Linked DNA regions of Caenorhabditis elegans. The protein of the gene in region 1 interacts with the protein of each later gene in a pairwise test. Each region holds a gene or a part of one and is shown in the gene's direction. Other genes may lie near its edges.

Region 1 (4,186 bases):
AAATTTGTCGCACACGTCAAAAATTTGACAGTACAATTTTGACTAAAACTATTGATTTTTTCGCCAAAAAATTACAAAATTGAGTTATTTAGATGCATAAGCAAACATACTACACGGAACTTATTCGGAATCCAGGTGATTGTTCAGAATTCAGTAGTTTTGGTGCTCCAAAAAGCATCAATGAGTATTAATTTTTTGGAGTTTGTTGAGCACGGCTAATTTGCCGTAGGTAGGCACTTTGATGCCTCGGCGTCCCATATGCAGAACAAGCTCAAAACAGACACAACTCTGGAATATGTACGGCAATTAAAACTGAGCTTTTTCTGCGTATCTAAAGGTCAGACACAGCAGTCCAGCTCCAATTTAAGCCTTGTTCGAGCCGGGGACTGTGACCAATAGTCCAGTCGTGGATTGCTCTACTTCCCACTTAAGGCTGGATGGACCTAGTGGGAGGTAGGACTTGAACTGGTGACCTCTAGATTGCTGGCGGCCACCACTGGTTCATTGTGTCCGGACCTCGATCGCGATGTCTCCACTGAGACATTATGCGTACATCTTAAGTTGTTCGAAGACTCTCGCATGACTTCCATGTTTCTTGTTCCAATAATTCCCAGACGTCACAAAGCATATTCCACGTGTTTTTTTTAAACCGCGTTTGGACGAGTGTTGGGAAAAAAAGAGAGTTGTGCTCTCATAATGGAGGTGTATTATGTGCTCACTTTCTCTCTGAGAAGTTGCCTCTTCAAGGATGATGGCTTCCCGTCTCCGGCCGTGGTCTACACCACCCGCGTGTGTTGCATCCCAAAACCGGATACTCTTACCTGCCGGTCAGTTGGCCCGGCAGCTCTCGCTGTCTCTCTGACGCCACCGCTGCCACTCGAGTGCACCGAGTATAAAGAGCACAGTGCTCCGACACTTTAGAGTCAAATTTTCTTCCGATGGCAAATCGGCTACTCACACATCAGGAACAGATTTTGCTCTGTTCTCTGTTTTTAAGATTTTCTAGACACCGTAGTTTCCCTATTAGACATGCAACCCTTGCTCTATTTTGTTATATCTCTGTTCCCTTCGGTTCTATCAAAAAACTGTCATTAACTGACAAAACACGTGCAAAATATTTATCTACAGTTAGACAGTAAACGCCGCTTAAGTAGATCAATGAGTTTCATGTCCAATATGCTAAATACGGTAGGAATCATTTTTTCAACTATTCTAATTTTTCTTGTAGCATTAAAAAAACTATCAACTAACATCCTAACTACTATTTAAGTATCAAGCATTGCAAAAATTTAAAGAAGCAAAAGGCTCTTACTATTAGAAAGCTATATGTTTTCCATTGACCACAGACTCCGGGCTTTTCATAAAAACCTTAGCAATCCGAATATAATTGGAAAGTTTCTATATATGCTTCAACCGTGATAAGATAAGTTGAACGACATTTTGACAAGCGCGCGCTCACAATCTTTTGGTGTATGTGTGTGTGTGTGTGTGGGGTCACTCAAGTATTTGAACATCAATCGTCCACTTCATTTTACAAACACATAGACTGGACTGAGCCCGATGGGGGAAATGAGAGAGTTTCGTGCCGCGCGCAAAGAGCACGTCGCCGCGCGGAGGCGCCAGAGTCTAAGCTAACACAGAAAGTCGGAGGGAGACGAAAAAGAGAAGACGGTCAGTTAGTGTCCCCTCCCCTCTCTCCTCACTGTTACGTACAAATGACCATTTAGTCTTGCTGCTCCATCGGGCTTCTCCTTGAGAACAAATCTTCAGATTTATTTTTGAGTTACCTTACTCTACCTACTAATTTTACAGTTTTACTTACATATTACTCTTTATTATTTATCTGAATCTTTATTAGTTTCCTGATATAATATTATTATTATTATTAAAATTTCAGGCCAGCGCAGGGTCAGGTGTTCCTACTTGTCTTAAAACCTTCAAATAACTCATTATGAAGCAACTCGCCATCTCCTTCTGCATTATCCTCCCCCTCGCCTGCTTCTGGGTACTGAACGCAGAAGACGCGAAAGAAGGTATGTTGTCACTCACTCTTCAACTCCTAAAATCCGACTTTCAGCTCCAGAAATTCGTGAAGCCAACTCCACAGTATTCCGTCAGAAGAGGCAGTTTGGATGCCCATCCAATTGCTATTCCTCATGCAGTTCCTCGTCCCAGTGCCAGAGATATTCTGTCGCATCTGTCTGTGTCCAAGGATGCTGTTGCCCAGGAAACAATAACCTTGATAGTAAGTTTTTTTAATATGAAGGTTGTGTAGGAAGTTGAAAAATTGCTTTTTTTCATAAATCAGAGATGTTAAAGAAAACGTCGCAATTATTAAAAACTAGGAGCGGGGATAGCTCAGTCGGTAGTATTGATAATTAGCAATCTAGAGGTCACGAGTTCAAGTCCTGGCTTCCCTAGGTTCAGTGTACCCAGATCCGTTCATATCGCTTAAGTAACGCATCGTCCTTTAACCCTTTAGTAAGGAATATGAGATAAAAGTTGAATGCTGACACCTTTAAAATTTAGATCTCCCTTAGTTCAAACCTCAAACCTTATCAAAATCATATCAAGAGATATCAAGAATCCAGTCACCGTTCCAATTTCTCAAGTGTCCCCGCCGTTCCCTTCCGGTTCGAGCAAACACACACACTGATTACCTAATGATTGCTACAACTCCCGGGGAGACGCTGCTTAGTCCCTTTTGCGGTGATGGAGACACCTTCTTATACGGCTCAACATAAATACAAAATATTTGCGAAGTTTCGCGGGGTGTTTGCGTTTGCTCGGTGCGTGCTGCTGTGCTCTGTGTCTCACGAAGTCGGCGCGGTTTGGACAACACGCACGAACCTATCTTTTTCTATCTTTAGCTCGTATCAGAACGAGTTCAAATATGGGTGTGGAAAGTCGTCTAATTCCAACAAAAATTTCAGCCGCCTGCTCCGGAGGACCAGCCGTCGCCGCCTGCCTCGGAGGACTCTGCGGACAAGGATTCTTCTGCTCGAGCAACAACTACTGCTGCAGATGCCAATCCGGAAACAGCACGGGACCATGTGTAAACCAGGTCTGCCCAACCGGATTCATGTGCAACACCAACAACTACTGTTGCCCACTCGGATCCGGAGGAGTCCTCGGATCATGTGTCAACGGAGTCTGCCCAACTGGATACACCTGTGGAGCTGGAAACTTGTGCTATTTGAGCAGTGGAAAGTAAAAAAATGGAATTCAATTTTTCCCTTTTTTCATGCGACAAATTGCCCCCAGTCTTTCTATATTTTTATATATTTTTTTAATATATTGTACTTTCCTTCTCCGTTCTCTGACTCTCTGCTCCTTTTAAATTATTCTAATCTATTTGAAACGAATCGTTCCCACCACCAAGACAACAACATCAACAACAAACGAAATCCCAAAAAAATATTTGAATTGTTTTTAAATTTAATTTGTTTATTTATTATTTTATTTTAATTAATGAAATAAAAAAAGAAACATTTGACACTCTACGACGATATGTGAGAAAAAATATTATAGTTTGCAAATCAAAATTTTCAAAATTTCAAACAAAAAAAAGTATAGTTAATTATGCGAAAAAAAAACATTGAGAGATGCTGATGATTTCTGTCATGAAACCGGAAAAATATGAAATAAAACTTAAAGTAGGGGGGCACTGGGAAGAAGAAAAAAACAAAATCATAATGCAAATGTGCTCTAATAATAACTAATTCAAACAATTTTATGCTCGTCGTGAGGATGATGATCATAATCATAGTCTGTATGAACAAATGCACGTTCAACTTCCGGCAAGCTTTCGATGTTTGATTGGAGGGTCTCACTGATGTCATGGGATTCTTTGAGGATCATATTCTCGTCGAGCACAATGTGCACCTGGAAATATTACAGATTTTAGAGTAGCACAATAATTCAGTTGTAAGCTCAGCCTCTTCAGAAATGTGCGATACGGGCTTATGTTAGGCCTAGGTGTAGGTTTAGGCCTAGGCTTAGGCTTGGGCTTAGGCTCAGGCTTAGGTTCAGGCTTAGGCTTGAAGAATCCAGAGAAAAAATATTCTTACCTCAACTAAAAACTTGCTTCCAAAATGGTACACATAAACCGTATCAATATGTGAAATCCGAGCATCATGATCCAAGCAGACTTTGATGATCCTATTAATGAACTCTGGCTCTGCAG
Region 2 (4,253 bases), 3.5 Mb from region 1:
TAGATGGGACAAGAAGTTGTTGTTCTGAAGCACCACCAAAAGCAACAGTATCTACTCCCATGATTCCCTTAGCGCTTCCAGATTCGTATTGAATTTGCCATGATTGTCCGTTTTTCTTGAATGTTGTAGATTTAGATGAGTCAAACTCGCTCTTTCCTTTGCATGTTCCACTGAAAATGATAAAAATTTAAAAACCATTGTGTAAGGTGGCTACTGACTCGCAGTTACTTCCTGGAACCCAGAGATTCGCAGAACCAGTATCCAAGACGACAATAAACTGTTGTGGAGGAGTTCCAATCGTGATATTTCCTAGGTATTCAACATCTCCAAAATCATTGACATTTTGTGGAGCACTGGCGAACACAGCTGGATTGGCGTCACGTAGGGCAGCCTTGTGTTGAACGTATGCTCCCCATTCTCCTCGCCTCATCATTTGCATCTTTGGCGATTCCCGATAGATCAATTTATGCTGAACCACAGTTGCCGAGCACATGCCAAGAATGGCTACAAAAGCGAGAAGAGTTGTCTTCATTTCTGAAAAGATTTATTGAATATTTCGATGTTTTCAGTGCGTGTTGTGTTTTGAAATAAAAGAGGTTTCATTAATTTTGGTTGAAATCATGTTTGTTTCTTGATTCTACTAGTTTTTCAACGAACAACTGTTTGAAATACAATATCATTTAGGTTGACTTTTGTGCGAGACTGTGTGAATGCCCGGTACGATAAAAAGTTCAGTAGTCCTATTATGCTTGAAATATGGGTATTTGAAAGTGTAATACAAGTATTCAAGAACTAAAATGGTTCTTTCTTCCTAAAATTTATGCGTTTAAGATTAAATACCATAGAAACCTAATATTTTTCGTTCTTCAGCTCATAACTTTGCAAACTAGAATGTCCGTGCAAAGTTTGGAAACTTTGGCCATTATTCTTTCAATCTGACGCAAGAACTCTCACTTTCTTGATCTGATGCGATAAATTATTGATAATAAATCAGAATACGTATCTAGATTCGTAAGAAGCTTATCTAGAAAAGTTCCGGCTCATAGTCAACATGCCTGGCTATTGGGCACGTGATGATCAAGATGTTTGTACTGTCACAGGTTGAGAAGTAAAACAGCGGAAATGATTGAGGAAAACGTTTGATTTAAAGAAATGTCAATAAAGCTATCATGTTGACTGCCAAAATAATACAGAGCCGGAAAAAAAACTGCAGAAAATAGTGATGTCATTTGGGTACACTTGCAAAACAAGCGTACAGTATTAATTGGATTTCCAATTCAAAAGGGTGAACTGTAAAACTTGAAACCATGCCTAGCTTTCTCTGCAATCCACCAAAAATTTTATATTTGGGGTCTTTAGGAAGATAGGCTGAAAATTCATCCTTAACTATTCCCTGGCAAGTTTTCTGGCAAAAAGTTTATCTACATATAAATATGGAGTTTTGCAAAAAAAAATGCTGTGGAACAATTGGAAATGGACATAATTTTCAAATAAAATTCAAATAATGGGCACTATTGTAACTATTTTACTAACTGTGAAGTAAGATGAGATAGAAAGTGCCGTTAAGAACCTTCCAACTCAAAAAGTTTATTCAATTCAAAAACTGTATAATGTTGAAAACTATAATACAGAGCAAATTGAATTGTTGGAAAATCTTACAGTGATGCCTTAAATAAGGCTCTCGTCATTCATTATATCATCCTTTGGACTCTGTCTGTTCAAGTTTTAGCCATGCTCAAACTGTATACTTTCCTATCGCTTACGTAATTCATCACGTATTACTCCGGATTTAGCCAGTAAACCTACGTGTGTACCTGGTATTGACCTATCAGCACTTGACTCAAATGTCATCCATCTCCGGGTACCGTTCACGGAACTTTACGCACTTTTGATTCAGTTAATACTCGAGTTTTATTAGCTCATAAAAGCTGTTTCGTCAGTTTTCAGTCGTTACTTCCAGAAGCCGGAATCATCGGCACTACTCTCTTCACTAAACTTCATTTTTTAGTGATAAGAATCGCACCGATCGGGTACAAACCAAATAAGAAGGCGGTTCTTATCAACCAATTAAACTTACGTCAGTGCGCCCATGAGTTTTCTCAACAAGTATAAAACATAGCACTATCTGACATTTTCTACTTCAATTTTTGCTCTTGAAATTGAAAATTATTTCACTCGTTTATCTACACTTTCAATTTCATTTCCATTTAGAATATTTTTCTGAAATATTTATTTTCAGGTATGAAGACCTTCATCCTTCTGGCCGTTCTTGGCCTTGCATCGGCTTCAGTCCATCAACACAAGATCGTATGGAGGGAATCCAAGAAGATGGGAATGATCCGTACTGGACAATATCCAGCTTACCTTGAATACCAGAGAAATCTCAGAGCTGTGTCCCCAAATGTTCTTGCTAATCTCCCACAAAATGTCAATGACTTTGGAGATTTCGAGTACCTCGGAAACATCACCATCGGAACCCCAGATCAAGGATTCATCGTTGTTTTGGATACCGGATCCTCTAACCTCTGGATTCCAGGACCAACCTGCAAGTGAGTAGATTTCAGTTCTGAAATATTTAAAAAGATTATTTGAAGGACCAACTGCAAGACCAAGAGCAAGTTCGATTCCACTGCCTCCAGCACCTTCGTTAAGAACGGAAAGTCCTGGACCATCCAATACGGATCAGGAGATGCCGCCGGAATCCTCGGACAAGATACCGTTAGAGTAAGTTTATCTTCAATGCATTAATGTGTGCGTTGTGTAATCTTGATATAAATTAGCTGGCAAAGTGAATTTTACAAAAAATCAGTCCTTATCAAATTGATTTTCAGTTCGGAGCTAAGGGAGACTCCCAATTGTCTGTTCCAACCACCACCTTCGGAATTGCCAGCAAGATTTCCGCTGACTTCAAGAATGACGCCACCGACGGAATTCTCGGACTTGCTTTCACCTCCCTTGCCGTCGACGGAGTTGTCCCACCACTCATCAACGCCATCAACCAAGGAATCCTTGACCAGCCACTCTTCTCAGTCTGGCTTGAGCACAGAGGAGCCGCCAACAATGTTGGAGGAGGAGTCTTCACCTACGGAGCCATTGACACCACCAACTGCGGAGCCCTTGTTGCCTACCAACCACTTTCCTCTGCCACCTACTATCAATTCAAGGCTGCCGGATTCAAACTCGGATCATACTCAAACACCAAGACCGTTGATGTTATCTCTGACACCGGAACTTCCTTCCTCGGAGGACCACAATCTGTTGTTGACGGACTCGCCAAGGCCGCTGGAGCCACTTATGATGACTTTAACGAGGTCTACTTCATCGACTGCGCTGCCCAGCCAGGAACTCTTGATATTACCATTGGAACCAACACTTATTCCATCCAGCCAGTCAACTACATCGTTGATGCCGGAAACGGTCAATGCCTTTTCGCTGCCTTCCCATTCGATTTCGGAGGATTCGGACCATCATGGATTCTTGGAGATCCATTCATTCGTCAATACTGCAACATTTACGATATTGGAAACAAGAGAATGGGATTCGCTCCATCTCTCCAAAAGTAAATATATATTACTATTTATGTACTTATACTTTTTCAATAATAAAACAATTGAAACAACTAATATTTAAACAATTTTTCTGCAGAAATGAATTGCATTGAATTTTAATCACGATGTTTCATTCCTCTTATCAGTTTACTTGTGTTATCAGCGAAATTAACGAGTCCGCCGTTTGATGATGCAAGAAAATGAAAAAAAGCTTAAAACCAGAATTGAAAAGGGGGAAATTGATCACTTTTTGAAAAATGCGATCAATAATTTTAATTATAAGTTTATTTGTTTTTGTTTCTGGATTAGTACATCAAAGTAAAATATTATGGAAACCATCAAAAAGGATCGAGATGCTGAGAAGTGGAGAATGGGCAACATATAAGAAACATCTCGAGAGACAAAGAAACCGTAATCCTTGGCAGCTACAGAGTTTGCCACAGAATGTAAGTTTTTTTTAACGTATCCAAATTTTAAAATAATCTAAAACTTGTACTGATAACCTGTTCTATGCAAGTTTCACAATTTTTAAATAGAAACTAGCCAACTTTCAAAAATAACTTTTATTTGATATTTTTCTCATAAACACATACACTAATTTAGGTCAATGACTTTGCCGATTTTGAATATCTTGGAAACATCACTATTGGAACTCCTGATCAGAGCTTTATTGTTGTCCTTGACACAGGTTCCGCGAATCTTTGG
Region 3 (4,453 bases), on another chromosome or scaffold:
GATGATACTTCCAACTTCGATTCAGAGTTTACTCACGAGGTCCCTAAGCTTACTCCGATTGACCGTCTATTCCTCATGAATCTGGATCAAACTGAATTCGAAGGATTCTCTTTTGTCAACCCAGAATATGTTCAAGAGTGCTAAAATTCTCAAATTAATTTATTAAAAACTATTTAGATAATAATCTCATTCACCGAAATTTTAATATTCTCCGAAGCCTCTCATGCCGGAGTGACTGTGCTAAATTTTGTTTTGCAGCAAATTGTACCGATGTTACGTCACTAGTCCACTTTCTTCACTTTTTACATTCCGTGTTAGAACATTAAACATTTTCATGCACTTATTCTAAATGCGTCCTTTATTTGCTTTTTATTATATTCGAAAATTGCAATTTGTATAATAAGTATGTCATTTCTGTACCAGGCTATTTTGGTTTCAATAAAGATCTCATATAAACCTGTATATTTTTATTAGAAATTGTTTTTTTGAAATTTGAACAAGAGTGGAGAACAAGTTTATTATAAAATATATCAAAAGAGACATCCCTAAACGTAATAGCATTTTTAGAAACCAATTGAACTTTTCTATGTATCAAATAGAGTTTTCTGTTGAAAAACAAACTATTCCCCAAACATTTCTAGCACTTTTGCTGCACCTTATTAGTTATTTTTGAAATAAATATTAAAATATCTGTATATAATAAAATATTCAAAAATAATTTAAACATTTCCATAGTTTTTTCGCAAAAAAGTAAAAAATTGTTCATGTTATTTTTAGTAGTTTTGTTGCGAATCTTTTTTAGTTCAACTTGCTATTGATAATAATATGTAAGAAACCCCAATAGATTTCAAGTTGTGATGTGAATTGTAGAAATAATTATCCATTTTTCAACCCTTCTAATAGATTTTTGAAAAAAAATTTTCTCACATGTTTTTCGGTAGCTTTGAAAACATTTTGAAATAGTTTCATTTTTATTCAAAGTTACAATTTTTTTCTTCTGAAATTCGCCCAAAAAACTTTTTTATATCCGTTTTCAAAAAATCTTCAAAAAAATTTTGTTGAAAGTTTTCGATTTTTTTTACAAAAAATAGGCAACCAAATATAAGTAGTTTCTCAACTTACATAAAAATTTAGTTTAATACAATACACTCAAATGGTGATTCAAAAAATAACTTTTTCGAGCGATTTTTAAAGTTTCCTGAGAATTTCTCAGAGGCGAAAAATTAATGTATGCATGTTTGAAAATTGTTGCGACTTGGTTGCTATAATTTTGTGTAAAGTCAATAATTTTAATCTGAACAAGGCAAAATCCATTTGAAAACCTCAAATCTGAGCTTTAAAAAACGAGATCGAGCGGAAGCCTCAAAACAGTGGCTCCTAAATAGGATACTTGGGTGGTTGAAAAAATTGAAAATTACTGTCAAATGAAAAATCATAAATACAAACTCATAAATGCTCAAAAACTTAGAAATTTCTAAGCAACTAAACACAATATGTGTTTTGACCTAGGATTTATTGTCACCCCTAATGCATTAACGAGATGCAGATCTGTGGCTATTTGAAACAATTTTTCCCATACTTATGCTTGATTTCTGAAAAAAAACCGGGACTGTTCAAAAAAAAAGATTACGAATGCAATATTTCAGCTCGCTTTTTGACTACTGTTTGCCTTTTGCTAATTTAATGAACTGAATTATCAAATATGTTAGTCGAAACCCGCTCGCAAAGCAAGGCGTACACTGCCTTGCGTACGTACGCGATGCGTCTGCGTCGCGTGCCTCTCCTACTGTGTGTGTTTCAAATATTACTCCTTTACGTAGCAGCCCCAATTTACGTCAAATATTCTCGACAAAATGGATGAAGATGGGCTAGAACAGACTACTCCCTTGATGAGTTTGAGTGAGTTTTTACTTAACTTTTTTTTAAACTACTGGACGTAATTTTTTTAATCAAATAATTTTAATAGTTATTTATTTGTAGAAGATATCTGTTGAAAACAATTTTCCAGGACAAATAAAAGCTTGCGGACATCTTCTTTTGGGAACATTACAACTTCGATGTGAACAACATGGCTCAACAGAGGATCCACGAAGTGAGTGAACTTATATTCTGGAACGCCGAAAATGAACTAAAATTTCAGAAGAATCAATAACTGCACGAGTATTCCTTAGAAAGCGGATGAAGGAGTTGCCAGAGGTAAGTATTCGTTATATGAATTAAACAATAAAAATTATTGAGATAAGTATACTGAAATATGTTATTAATTTAAAATACATTACAAAGTCCGTTGTTCAATATATATATTTTTAAAGTGTAGGAACTACTAAATCAAAACTCCAGTTATTAATAACTATTTCAAAAATTCCTTGAGAAACTTATACACATTAAAGATTTTCGAAATATTAGGTTATCAATGATATAGATCCATAAATTAAATAAATAGTAATAAGTTAATTTAACAACAACTGTAAGCTTTACCTTTTGACAGAACAAAGTTATTGGAAGTAGAAAAAATTGATATTGAAAATGTACCAAAAAAATAATTGAAAATTATCGCCAGTGGGCATTTTGACTAATTTTGCTTATAATAAGCTTTCATGCCTACTGTACATATCAAAATAAAAGCAAAATGGCACTTTGAAAAATTGAGCTTTTTTCAAGGTTTTAATGAACACAAAGAATTTCAAAAAGCTTCTCAAAATGTTTACTATGATATTTGCTCATTTCATGTGTTATTTTTTAATTTTTAATTTATTTTTTATAAAGATTTTCCCCACTCGTGTTGCCTTACAAAATCATTGTTTGAAAAATAAGTTGTTTTTTCGAGCATTAGAAGGAAGCGAAATATTGAAAATGATTAAATTTAGAAATTGAAAATTTTTAAAGCTGACATTAATATCAGTCATAAACTTTGAAATAACTTTATTAAAAAGAATTAACAAACATTTGACATAGATATTCAATTTTGTGACAGATCGAAAATAATGATAACTTTTCATTTTACAGACCGACGACAAAAACAACAAAGCATTTGTTCTCCGTGCACTCTACAAACTTCTCGACGCAAACTATGCAATCGTATTCAGCAAAATTGGACAAGTATCTGGAGAACTCGCGTTCCTTTCACAAATCCACGACGATCCGGATTTTGATAGTGTGGAAACTCAATTCATTTGGACTTGTGATTATCTCTTCAAATCCGGACAATTAGAAAATGAATGGAGAGGAGACTTTATTGTACCTTCCACTCCAGAATTTGAGATGCCAATGGTTGATGAAATGGCAGAAGAAGAGCAAGCGAACTTTATGATTGAAAGTGAAATGGAGCTTCGTCGCCAACTTGAAGGATATATGGCGATTGAAGAAGGAAACAATCAATAAAATTTAAATAGTTTTGCACTTTTATTGTCATCTCAGTCATCATTTAATAGTTCATTTCTTGATATCAAATTTCCAATTCGCTCACTCGGTTATGATCCAAACATCACTCATGTCTCAATGTTCCAAATAGAAAATTTTAGTATTACCACATCTCATGCTCTCCTTTGTTGCTACTACTCGCTCTTTCCGATGGCTAATAAATTGTCGATATTTTTTTCAAACAAGTAAATCATTGAAATGAGATTGACAATGAAAAGTGCAGCACCTTTTAATTTTCAGCTTGTAGAATGTTGAAAATGAAGGTACAGTTGCGATTATAACCGCTGACTGACATGTGCAAAAAACGCACACGGCTCTGTTACATGTGGTGTCCGGTGTAGAAATATGTAGCTCAGATTATTCAGAGCCTGATAACTTTGTAAATTTTTCACACATTAAAAAAGTAACCTGCCAATATCCTTTGTTTTGTTGTACTGTTGATTGTGTTCCATGTGTTCTTATTGAATTTTCTTCATTCTCTTTAAATTTTTCAAGTTACTTTATAATTACTATAAAAAATGAAAGAGAGCCGTTTCTCTGTTTTTTTCTTTTAGGGGTTAACTGTTTATGAGCCCTCCATGCTCAATTAAAAAATAAGAGACAATATTGCCACAGTGTGGTGTGGATAGAAAATACAGTTGCTACGTTGAAGCAACAGCGGCGCTCTTTGTAGAAAGCCAATTTTGTGTTAAAATTATTCATATTAAATAGAAAAATCGGTTCGGTTGGGATGTTTCCATATTAGAGTATTTATTGGGTAATGAAAACCTGAAATTCTTTGAGACAGTTTTACAGTAAACTAATTTGATTTTTCATAGTTTTAACATCAATTAGGTTCTGTAAAATATGTGTCGATATTTTAAATTCAGTAAATTTCCGTGAACAGCTGAACTATCTTCATTGAAAATCCTGTCAGATGAATAATTTGCAAAAAATTTTCTTATTAGTATTGTCTAACTAAAGTAAGACTATTGTTGAACTGGACTTTTTAGAAGTAATACAAATTTAGTGTTCCAAATCCGATTTTGAGTTG
Region 4 (5,098 bases), on another chromosome or scaffold:
GCGCACAAAATGACAACTCTTGAGAAGTTTTCCCTTTCTCTCTTTCTATCCCCCAAACCCTATGATTATATCAGACAAAACGTGGGCTATCTTGCGCTACGAGATAGAGGCAAAAGTGCGTGGTAGGCAGAAGGCAGGTGGAGCCATTTGAAAAATGAAAAATATGTTACCGTGGGAACATATACCAACAATTACGGTTTCATCAAGGCGATATAAGTGTTTAAATCTTTCAGCGAAACTTCATTAAAACTTTCCGGACAATCATCTGCTACCCAGTTTTGAATTTTCTTATTAAAATACGGTGCCCAGTCTTACTGAAGTTCCCAAATTATGGAATTTTTTACAAGTCAAGGTTTAAAAATCGAAGAAAAATTGGCAACGACAGGGGTGGGGTCTATAGTACTATTTAAACGCGCAAATTTTTTGAATTCAACAAAATTTGCAATTGTATTTATTAAACATAATCGTATATTTTTTTGATTACTGTGAACAGTGAGAACTGCAAAAAAAATGTATTTGAAACCTTTGGACAACTTATCATATTTTTTACGGAAACTTGTACCTTCAAGTCGTGTTGTAACAAAAAATATTTTTGAGCCTCAAATCATATTTGATTTCAAACTAGTTTCTAATAGTAAGATAAAACTTGTTAGAGAAACTGAATTTATTTTCCGGTATTTTTTTTATTTTCATCATAATTTTAAATCTCCTACAGCAGTTAATGACTTATTGAAGCATTAATTAAAACGAGTACCAAAATTGATTGCCTTCAATTAAAAAAGTAGCAATCTGAAAGCTACAAAGCTCACATGTGAAGCTTTCTATGTTGTCAAAAATTCAGCAGCTGATTGGCGGTAGGCACAGTCATAAGGCAGGCAGGCAGATATTTTTCTGCCTACGTGGAATCAACTGAACATACATTTTACTGGTATAAAAATAACAGGCGATTTCCAATCATGATTCACAGTTCCCATTTTAAGCTTGTTGTTGTCCTGATAGAATTTAAATAATTTACTGTTTCTTCGATAAAATAATAGGAAATTTTTTAAAGCAAGTTAATTTATCATAGTAACGAAGTTATCATTTTGAAATGCTAAAAATTTAGTTTCTTTCAGTAGAAATATTGTCTTGATACTTTTTTTGGTCTGAAAATTTACTTTTCAGTGTCAGGCTTTTTCAGCAAAAACTAGAAGTTTTTCTAGGAACCTTGGAAATTCAAATTTTTTACTATTAGTTTTCAGTTTTAAACAAGCTTATGATTATTATACCCATAAGAAAATAATCATTTGCCTTTAAAAATGTTTCAGTTCTCATAAAATTATCTACTTCTATTCAAGAACCAAAGCAGCAACCATTTTTAATATAATTTTTTCTCACTTCAACTCCAATCCCTTCCATTTTTTTTTCCAACAATTCCCTTGACTGCAACAGACTGAGGATATTCTCAAGCACCCGCTTCTTCCCGTGATGCTCTAAATCTCTCAATAATCCATACTATTTCCATGTTACTGTAACTGAAGAGGAGGTGGTGGGAGGCGCCGGGATCCCCCTTTCGCAAATATCTTCCTCTCGTCTCTTCATTTTCCGTGCTATTTCGAAAACACACTTACCAGGCAATCGGGAAAAGCCGAGCCAATTCAGTTTCTCCGAGCAAATTTCTTGGCATTTTCGCCGTGTCCCCCACACTTTTTCGTTATCTTTTCTTTGTCTCAACCCAACTTTTACCGTTTCACAGCAATCAATGATTCATCTCGTAGATCTTGTTCTGATTGGGATCTTCTTTAAATTACGTATTAAATTATTTCAGGTGATAACCAATAACCATGAGTGACGTTGACGCTGATGAGGTGAGTCGTGGTTTTATTTCATTGCAAAGATAAAAATTGATTTGAATTTGTAAAACACATGAAACAGTAATTTTGTAAACTTTTTGGTAAACCAAAAAAAGTTTCCAGCCTTATCCCCCACATATGGATGCAGAAGTAAGTCTAGACAGTTGAAAATTTTAAGTACAGATTTGGTTTTTTTGTTGGAAATGGTTTTTATTGAGTTATTTTATATTTTTTCTTGAAATCTGAAAGAAAATTTGAGATAGTTTTTACTTGTAAAAATGAAAATATTTCCAGTGTTTTTGGGATAAACCCTTCAATAAACATGAAACTGTTTTAATTCATAAATTAACAACAATCTGAAACTGTAACAGTTTTTGAAATAGAAATGAATTAGTGGGAAACAATGCATTCGTTTACTATAATGTGACTGTAATTTGTGGGCTCGTTGAAACAATATATATATATATATATATATATTTATTCGACTAGTTTGAAAATTGTGAGCTTTGGTATAAAAAATTAGTAAAATTTAAAAAAAACGTGTTTGTGAACAAGCAAGATCTTACTAAGACCTTACTTACTAAGACGAAGCGATTGCTTTGGCGCGACTGTATATGTTCATATTATTTATATAAAAACATAGTGTTTATAGTTAGAAACATTTTTGGTTATAGTTTTTTTGAAACAGTAACTTTAAAATAAATAAAAAATTGTTCACCTTTTTGATGTATAGTGATTGTAAATGATTCATATACTTGTTGAAACTGTTTATAATGTCTTTTACTTAGTTGAAAAGCGAATTACATAAAAGCTGCCGTTACAAGACCCCATAAAGATTTTAAATACTCAGTAAGTATATTTTTAATATTAAGGATTTTTTGTTCTGCAAAATATTTTTGGTTCACCCTTGTCATGTTTCGTCTTCAGTTCAAATATTGAGTTACCGTAACCGCCATATTCCCATTTCCGTACCTCAAATTCACATTTCTAGGCGCGCAAAATGGCGGAGCGCGAGCGCAAGAAGGAAGAGGTGCGTAAGCGTCTCGAGGAGGCCTCAAGAATGAAGAAAGCCAAGAAAGGATTCTTGACACCTGAGAGAAAGAAGAAGCTTCGTAAGCTTTTGATGATGAAGGCCGCCGAAGATTTGAAGCAACAACAAATGTTGAAAGAGCAAGAGAGACAACGTATTCTTCAAGAAAGAATCATTCCACTTCCAGATTTGGATAACGAAGGTAAGTGTTCTGAAGATGAAAACAACTATTTTATGCTACTTTTGGATATCAGTAAAATGCAATTATGTATGAAAATATAGAACAAAACACTTAATTTAGTAATTAAAGAACATTTTGCTAGGATGTCAATACCTCTCCAAAATACGTTTGGTTAAATAGAAAATACGAAACAGTAAAATTTTTAAATAAAAACTTGAATTTTTTAAATCTAATAGACTACTTTAAAAAGTGTTAAAACTCTGTAAAAACTTCATAATTCCGGGCGGTTACCTACATGAGTTTTATCTTTATTAAATTTTCCAGATGACCTCGAGGCAGTCTACGATGAAATCCGCGAGAGACTCATCGATCTTGAGTCTGAAAACTATGACGTCAGCTACATCGTTCGTCAAAAGGATTTCGAGATCAACGAGTTGACCATTGCTGTCAACGATCTTCGCGGAAAATTGTTCGTTTTTTATATTTTTTGAGTTTTTGGGGGTATTCATTTTAACCACATAATTATTGGATGGCACTGAGAAAATACTTTTCGCCATTTTTGATATTACTATCTTGAAACGGGAAATTTTTTCAAATGGAAATAGGAAAATTAATTACGAAAATGACACCAAATCAAAAAATATTGATATTGTAGAAAATTTTGAGAACTGTTAGCTTCACCAATTTCGGGTCCTGACACGAACGCAAACTTTTCAGCTACAGTACACGGGAGTATACAGTTCATTTTTAGCTTCATAGAGCGAATGTTCATATGATACCCAGATGCGAAAATTTACAATTTTTAACGCAAAATACATATCAATCCCGGTCTCGACAGGACCGAATGTTGAAACGGCAAAAAATTAAAGTTTCATCCAAAAAATAAAAATTTAAAATTTCCAGCGTGAAGCCAACCCTGAAGAAGGTGTCCAAGACCGAGGGAAAATTCGACAAGCTTAAGAAGAAGGAAGCCACCAAAGTCGATTTCCGTGCTCAACTCAAGGTTGTCGACAAGAACGAATTCGCACTCGATGAGGAAGACACTGAGAAGAAGGAGAAAGCCGCGTGGGCTAAGTAATTTCCAATAAAATCATTGAAAATTTCGGATAACTGGCACCCCCTGGAAACGTCTCGTCAAATTCAACTCGATCAATCCCTTCCCATCCTAAAAAATTCTCCTTCTTTATAAAAATTTCACCTTCGCATATCCATCGCCCTATCCATTTGCTTTCTTGTTCCTGTATTTTTTGTCTAAAAATTGTGCTCTGAAACAACAAGAATAAATCAAAAAACAATATATTATACAAAAAAATCGGGATGAATAGTTCATAAAAATTGATTGATGTAGATCTAGAGATTGAACCGTGGTTTTTTTCTTGAAATTTTAACAGGGAAATGGCATGTGTGGGGATTTTACAATAATTATTAGAAAATACATTTTTAAATTAAAACTCCATATCGGGAACTTCAATAGCTTGATCTTCTCTCATTCGTTCTTGTTCCAGCCTGATCAACTCTTGCCATTGTCGCTTCATTTCCAGATACTTTTTCAACGAAAAAACTTGAATCGTCTCGAAAAATCTTCGAACCTGGCCTCCTGGAATGTACTTGGCAAGTTTTCGGCACATTTTCTTCCTCTTCCTCCGCCGATTCTTCTTCTTCTTGACAAGTTCTGGTTTCTCAATACCTTCCTCCTTTTTTGTTGGCGGTTTTTTCTTCTTCGGTTTTTCTTTTTTCGACTTTTTCTTCCTCTTGTTTCGTGATCGCTCAATATTGATGTGGTATGGAATTGGATTTTGTAGACTTTCGGAAGTCGAAGGGGCTTCGTCTTCAGGTGAAGTTGGAGGAGGAGCACGACCAGTTGAGCATGATGGGATAGAAGTCGACGGGGAGAATGCAGATTCCTGGAAATAGTTAGTTTAAGAATTATTTTCCCTTTTAATTAATGTATTTTTTAATTGTGGAGTAGCGTCGGTGGTTTTTGTTGCTCTAAATAACAGAAAATAGTTTGAAAATACCGAATTTAACTGTTAAAAAATTCATAGAAGGTTTCGT

What was found.
Region 2: the proteins of R02F11.1 (region 1) and asp-6 interact in a two-hybrid assay, tested with the Caenorhabditis elegans proteins (one large-scale study listed by BioGRID).
Region 3: the proteins of R02F11.1 (region 1) and C23F12.4 interact in a two-hybrid assay, tested with the Caenorhabditis elegans proteins (one large-scale study listed by BioGRID).
Region 4: the proteins of R02F11.1 (region 1) and tni-4 interact in a two-hybrid assay, tested with the Caenorhabditis elegans proteins (one large-scale study listed by BioGRID).

What each region holds. Positions count from the first base shown.
Region 1 is NC_003283.11:4,799,197-4,803,382, forward strand, and holds R02F11.1 (CC domain-containing protein), read left to right. Parts: upstream 1-1,897; 5' UTR 1,898-1,951; coding exon 1,952-2,033; intron 2,034-2,077; coding exon 2,078-2,245; intron 2,246-2,933; coding exon 2,934-3,214; 3' UTR 3,215-3,488; downstream 3,489-4,186. Other genes in the region: R02F11.3 (Cation efflux protein cytoplasmic domain-containing protein), read right to left, coding at 3,724-3,885, 4,071-4,186.
Region 2 is NC_003283.11:8,266,924-8,271,176, reverse strand, and holds asp-6 (Aspartic protease 6), read left to right. Parts: upstream 1-2,239; 5' UTR 2,240-2,241; coding exon 2,242-2,549; intron 2,550-2,594; coding exon 2,595-2,724; intron 2,725-2,831; coding exon 2,832-3,563; 3' UTR 3,564-3,666; downstream 3,667-4,253. Other genes in the region: asp-12 (Peptidase A1 domain-containing protein), read right to left, coding at 1-170, 219-532. UniProt on the Caenorhabditis elegans protein: Aspartic protease.
Region 3 is NC_003284.9:9,385,583-9,390,035, forward strand, and holds C23F12.4 (LisH domain-containing protein), read left to right. Parts: upstream 1-1,758; 5' UTR 1,759-1,853; coding exon 1,854-1,899; intron 1,900-2,008; coding exon 2,009-2,092; intron 2,093-2,140; coding exon 2,141-2,196; intron 2,197-3,006; coding exon 3,007-3,381; 3' UTR 3,382-3,595; downstream 3,596-4,453.
Region 4 is NC_003282.8:5,202,784-5,207,881, forward strand, and holds tni-4 (Troponin I 4), read left to right. Parts: upstream 1-1,807; 5' UTR 1,808-1,823; coding exon 1,824-1,847; exon of another isoform or gene 1,848-1,868; intron 1,869-2,131; exon of another isoform or gene 2,132-2,152; intron 2,153-2,219; exon of another isoform or gene 2,220-2,240; intron 2,241-2,790; exon of another isoform or gene 2,791-2,811; intron 2,812-2,823; coding exon 2,824-3,064; intron 3,065-3,171; exon of another isoform or gene 3,172-3,193; intron 3,194-3,367; coding exon 3,368-3,512; intron 3,513-3,557; exon of another isoform or gene 3,558-3,578; intron 3,579-3,946; coding exon 3,947-4,121; 3' UTR 4,122-4,341; downstream 4,342-5,098. Other genes in the region: Y59E9AL.36 (RRM domain-containing protein), read right to left, coding at 4,489-4,947. UniProt on the Caenorhabditis elegans protein: Troponin I is the inhibitory subunit of troponin, the thin filament regulatory complex which confers calcium-sensitivity to muscle actomyosin ATPase activity.